Linked DNA regions of Kluyveromyces lactis. The protein of the gene in region 1 purifies or fractionates together with the protein of each later gene. This does not show direct contact. Links are inferred from orthologs where the notes say so. Each region holds a gene or a part of one and is shown on either strand. Other genes may lie near its edges.

The links. The genes of interacting proteins can lie anywhere in the genome.
Region 2: the proteins of RET2 (region 1) and SEC28 purify together in Saccharomyces cerevisiae (affinity purification with mass spectrometry; 6 studies listed by BioGRID). This does not show direct contact. The link is inferred for Kluyveromyces lactis from reciprocal best matches to the Saccharomyces cerevisiae genes RET2 and SEC28.

What each region holds. Positions count from the first base shown.
Region 1 is NC_006040.1:975,908-979,466, reverse strand, and holds RET2 (coatomer subunit delta), read left to right. Parts: upstream 1-1,448; coding exon 1,449-3,059; downstream 3,060-3,559. Other genes in the region: ZIP2 (Zip2p), read left to right, coding at 1-1,145; proteasome regulatory particle lid subunit RPN12, read left to right, coding at 3,464-3,559. UniProt on the Saccharomyces cerevisiae protein: The coatomer is a cytosolic protein complex that binds to dilysine motifs and reversibly associates with Golgi non-clathrin-coated vesicles, which further mediate biosynthetic protein transport from the ER, via the Golgi up to the trans Golgi network.
Region 2 is NC_006039.1:798,546-801,239, forward strand, and holds SEC28 (coatomer subunit epsilon), read left to right. Parts: upstream 1-1,274; coding exon 1,275-2,156; downstream 2,157-2,694. Other genes in the region: ARE2 (sterol acyltransferase), read right to left, coding at 1-664; GET complex subunit GET2, read left to right, coding at 2,467-2,694. UniProt on the Saccharomyces cerevisiae protein: The coatomer is a cytosolic protein complex that binds to dilysine motifs and reversibly associates with Golgi non-clathrin-coated vesicles, which further mediate biosynthetic protein transport from the ER, via the Golgi up to the trans Golgi network.

The DNA.
Region 1 (3,559 bases):
GGAGGATAAGTGACGAAATTATCAAAAGACTAAATTGGAATCCATTCAAAGAGTTAAACTTGCCAAAAAACTCGGAACTACTTGAATCATTAAGAGATGTACAAGTTAGATGTACGTCCTATGCGCTTGTCTTCAAAAGAATTCCAAGTTCCAAAATTGATTTGATGGTATCCAAAATTCCCGTTAGCTTCAGGAGTGTAAATGCTATCAGTTATGATCAGTTCGATCCAAAATCTAAAGAGAATGTCCAAGAGTCTAGTCAGTGTATTGATTCTCTTGCAAATGAGGAAACTACTGACGTCGATGAAGTGACAAACAAAAGGATAATGACAAGTGGGAAACGCTCTTTCATAAACGCAGATTTAGTAAGCATAATAGCAGCCAAACGGTCCAAATTGAAGAGACTCTCCATATCTAATGGTGATGTTAACCCAGTTGCTACTCTGAACGAGACAGTTGAGCAATCTACAATGTCCAATGTCACTTTCCAATTAAGCGATAAAAGTTTCCATAATGCTGAAGAGAAAGTAATCATTTTTAATGCAGAGTATATTGCCAAAAACTACAAGTTGATCAATTTCTTACATCAGAACAACTTTTGTGTGCTTGAGATGGATTTGGGGGATCATTCGGATATCTTGTTAGACGCATCTACCTGTCTCATTCTTCGAAATATTACTTCAGTGTATCAGAAACAGGTCGACAGCTTCCCGTTACTCCGAGCAATACAAGAATTGAAGTGTAAATATAAAAGAGTGGTAATCTTCTTATCGTACTCAGAACGATCGTTAGCGTTAGATTCCAACTTAGCTTACAAGACCCAACTTTTATTAAACTGTCTCGGTGGGACAACAACTCATCTAGTTGAGGAAACACAACTCAAATTAACAGCAACGTGGATTTCATTATATTGTGGTACCAATACGCCCAATGAACAGCAAATTTATCGCATGAGCCTTAGCAAAGAGGTCTTACAACATTTCGACATCAATCCAATCGCAATTGAAAGTATTCTGTCACTCACCTCATTAGAAGAATTCTTATCAATAAGTTATGGAAAAAGAGCCCTACTATATGGCAAATTTCTCACAGAATACCAACTAGCTCATATTGATGATTTTGTGACAATGAGTTGGTCAGAGTAAATTCATTCTCATACGTCGGCTCGAATGAACCTTACCCATCCAAGCTAAACTCACGATCTATTTCAACCAGTCATATTGAACGAACTCTTCTAGTATTGGTTTCCTGATTTTGATGAACCTTTTTTTTCCCTTCGAAAATGGAACTGAACCAAAACATATCAAAATAGAAAACTTGAAAATAGTTAAAAATGTACGAACCTGGCAAAGCTGTATCATTCCGAAAGCATAATAGTCTCGTTAAAGTTTTGATTCAGGCACCAGGAAACCTGTGACGTGATACATTGAGAACAGGGCTTGATAATCATGGTTGTACTAGCGGTTTCTATCACTACTCGTAAGGGTAAGCCTTTATTGTCTAGACAATTCAGAGATATCACGAAAGATCGTGTTATGGAATTGTTGTCGAATTTCCAGACTTTAGTTGCCAATTCCTCAAAGCAGCACACTTTTGTTGAAGATGAACATGTCAGATATGTTTACAAGCCATTTGATGATTACTATATTATTTTGATTACGAATCTTCATTCCAATATAATCCAGGATATGGACACGTTGAACATTTTTGTGCAAACGGTTGATTCTACTCTGAAGGGTCTAAGTGAGGAAGATGTTTTCGATAGTGCGTTCGATATCTTGAACTCATTCGATGAAATCATTACTATGGGCTACAAGGAGAATCTATCTTTAACTCAGATTAAGACCTTCTTAGCAATGGAATCTCATGAGGAAAGAATACAGGAAATTATTGAACGTAATAAGGAATTCGAAGCAGCGGAAGAAAGAAAGCGTAGGGCAAAAGAGATTTCGAGAAAGGAACAAGCAAGAAAATTGGGTATTCCGGACACTCAGGAATTCACCGGTATCCATGGTGGTGTTATGAACAAGGCGTATGACAGTTACTACAGCCATGCTTCATCCGCGGCTCAACAGTCACACATGCACACGCAATCTAATCAAGGTATTCAACAACAGAATTTAGCACCACAGCAACAACAGCAACAGCAGTATGCAAACCGTGAGCCTTTGGGTGGTAAAGGTTTGCAAGTCAATGGGCCAAGAAGAGGCGTTGAAAGACCGATCAAGAACGTGGAAAGACAATCATTATCAGTTCAAACAGCAACTCTGCCTGAAGAAGAAAAGCCTATCAACAATGGTATTTTAATTAGCGTAAAAGAAACTATTAACGCTGAAATTTCCCGTGATGGTGCTATCATGGGCTCAGAGTTAAAGGGTGTGTTAGAATTACGTGTTAATAACCCTGATCTTGCACATGCCAAACTATGTCTCGGTACAGACGTCAATGTCAAGGACAAAACGTATCAATTCAAAACCCATCCAAATGTGGACAAGGCTGGTTTCTTAACTAACAAAACGATCGGGCTAAGAGATCCTAACAAACCATTCCCATCCAATGATCAAAGTTTGGGTGTGCTAAGATGGCGTAAGGTTAAGGGTGCTGATGAACATGATTTGATCCCATTAGAAATTTCAACATGGTTGTCTCCATCTTCAGAAACGGATAATGCCATTGATGTTACTTTTGAATATGAAGTCAACAGTGATTACGAAGGAACTATCGATGAATTACGCTTCTTGATTCCTGTCTTCACCGATACTGTATTCATCAAAGATGATCTAAACGAGGCTAATGCAATCGTAGAGGCCATTGACGAGTCCCAAGGTATTATCATTAAGGTGGACCCAATTGAATCCGGTCAGTCAAGCGTATTCAGTGTTACTGTCCAAGCTGCTTATGAAGATGCGTTATTCCCTATCGAAGTTGCTTTAAAGAACAGCAATGCCAAACCATTGTCTAACCTAAATATTGCTTCTGTTGTATCTGCCGCAGATGACACTGAACTACCATTCGACACCGTATCTACCTTGAAGAGTGAACAATATGTCGTAGTGTAATTGCACTTTGCAGTATTAAACAGCAGCATGTGTCTCTAGCAGAAAATACTGCTACTATATAAGTAATCCTATACATGTTTGTGTATTTTTAAGAAGTAATGTACAGTGAACTCCACCAAAAGTAATAAAAAAAGCCGAAAACTGAAGAAAAAATGGTAATCTGATCCGTATGCAATTGATTAGATATGGCCTGTTAATACCTATTGCAATACGATCGGCGCATCTTGTGTCCTATCTTACCCATTGCCTGCTTTCATTTGTTCAAAGTTCCTATAAATCTACTACTATGTAATGAGAAATTCAAGATTCAGTGAAATTGAAAATATCAACATTAACTTAACTCAGACCTTGCATGAATATGTTTTGCCACCGAAATAAAGGGACAGAGATAGACAGCAACCAAGATGCCATCGTTACCAGAGCTAACCAAGGGGTTGAAGACTGCCTTTGAGGGCAAACAATATGAAACATGTTTGAGATTACTACTTCCTATCAAGATT
Region 2 (2,694 bases), on another chromosome or scaffold:
CATATAACGCAACTTTCCAAAGATTCATGGTCATGTATCGCAAGATAATTGACTGTGAAAAATCACCATGTTCCTCGTAATATTGTAATGTCACTTTGCAGATGGTGAACGCAACTGCCATCCAAAATAAGACATAGAATCCAGAAAAGTCTGTTGCTATAGTTTCATTTGCAATTTCAATAGTATTATTGTCATCTATCCTCACCGTATTTGATCTGGCTGTTGCCTTTACTCTAGAATATTTCTCGTCTATTGCTGGCCCATTGAAATGAGATCTAAGCGGATTGTTGACCATCTCATCCATGATACTACCTCTAGAGCCCCAGTCTACATCTCGTGTCATGGACTGCATTTCATTCGTATCCTTCTTATATCTGTTCTTTTCCTTCACCTTCAATTTCTGCATGAAAACATGCAGATGTTTGTCGCCTTGTTCGGAGGTGGTTCTAGTCTTAAAGATAACCGTGTCGTTAGGCTGGACCGTGTTGAAAAGAACGTCCGGAGATCCAAGTTCATCGAGAACAGCATCCTCCAACTGTTCCTCATGCAAAGACTTCCTCTTCCCATGGTTGTTGTCGTTCAGCCTTCTTATCCTCAAGAACTGCTCATCCTCAGTTATATCCTTAACGGTGGTATCATGTGAACTGTCACTTGAACCGGACATTATGACAGGTTTTTAATTAAAGATCCAGTTAAATAAATCTTTTATGATATATTAACGTGGATTGACTCTTCACCATGAAATTAGTCTGAGATAAATCTAGGCCAAGTCGTGATTCGTCTTAAGAAGGAAAAAATTCTTGCTAACCTCTCTCTCTCACTCAGACGTTTTAAATATAAATCTCAAATCCGGAATTAACCAATGGTCGTAAGAAGTGTACTGTTAATTACTGAATCTGTTTCCTTTTCCAACCCGTATCGTTTAAACGTCCAAAGTAACTGGCTCTGAATTTCTTCTGATAAATACTCTCAATCCCTTAAATAAACGCCATATGGTGATCCACACCTTCGAGAATTATTCGAGAAAGGAAAAATACAAAAAAAAAGATCACGTGAATGAAAAACATCCATTACCCTGATCCTGTCAGTTTTTCAGTTTTGGACAATTCGCATGGTGGATCAAAGTAAGATAGCATATGGACTCTCAATATTAAAGGATACGTGTGAGATAGACCCGTTAATGAGCCAGTAAAGTCGCTTTCAATACACGATAACGGTTAATTGAAGTTTTCCGACGTCAGATTTGTTGAGAAAAAAATATCAACTCAGAAGAAATGGACTATTTTACTGTAAAACAGCAGTTTTATACTGGTAACTATGAAGAAGCGTTGAACGAAGTTTCTAAGTTTAACAAAACTGAAGATGAGGCGTTGACTTACTACAGAAATAGATCATTGATTGCATTGTCCCAGTTCAGTGAGGGTAGTGCTGATTCTGGCTCACTTGGGCCTGTATTTGAGGCTTACTATAAATTTTTAAGCAAACCTACAGGCTCAATCACTGCACTAGAACAAACCGTTGAAAAGGCGGGCAGATCTCCATTTGCATTGAACTTATTAGCAAGTGCATTGACTATAAAGGGCGAGTTTAAAACTGCTTTGGAGGTTGCCGTTGAAGGAATTGACTCCGATGAAACAAGAGGAACCCCGGAACTACTGTTAACGGCCATCCAAATAACTTTGTTGGATAATCAACCAACCATTGCCTCGACTATGTTTGAAAATTTCCAAGCACTTCAGGAGCAATCGAACGACGATGAAATAATTTTGAATCTTGCAGAGTCATACATCAACTTCAACCAGGGTAAAGAGATCACTGGATCCAATTTCTATTTCTTTGAAGAGTTGTCTCAAACTTTCCCAAGTTGGAAGACTCAATTAGGCCTATTGAATTTACACCTCCAACAATCGCATTTGCCTGAATCCAAAGCAATCATCGACCTCTTAGAAAGCGAGTTCTACGATATCAAACAAGAAGCACAAACGTACAAGCCTGATCTACTTGCAAATAAGATTACGTACACCATCTTATCTGGTGGAAATGCAAACGAATTGAGATCGGAATTGCAACAATTGAAACCATCTCACCCACTATGTGTTGCCGACCTTGAAAATAACAAGACTTTCGATCAAATTGTGGCAAAGTACACAGCCTAAATCTATATATATCAAATAGATCTTGAGTAGCAAATAGTATTGGTATTGGCGATACTTTCCGGGTAACATTGTTCTTTTTCCCATCAATTTCGTGGGAACTGTCAAGATAAAGCGGATTGATCAAACATCCTATACAATGTGAAGGGTTAGTTTTGAAACCAGTCACTCGGTATCGTTTTACAAGGCACCTGCGTTGTATTTAGTTCGAATATTCAGGGGAGTTGATCTTCTTATTTTGATTGTCGATCTAATTCTACTTTAGTTTCCCCCGAATTGAGCTGTAATTCACACAGAATTTGGAGTTTACAAGATGGCTACTGAATTGTCTGATGCTGAGAAACGTAAATTGTTGAGGGAAAGAAGGCAACAGAAGTTTTCCAACGGAGGTGCTTCCAGCAGGTTGAACAAGATCACTGGTCAACAGCAGAATAGCTTTTTGTCTTCAACATCTGTTCTTGATGAGCCAAAAGTTACTCCGTCAGGTAACAAGAAATCATCCAATGTGAGTGACGAAGAAGTTGAAAAGTCTACCAAAGAG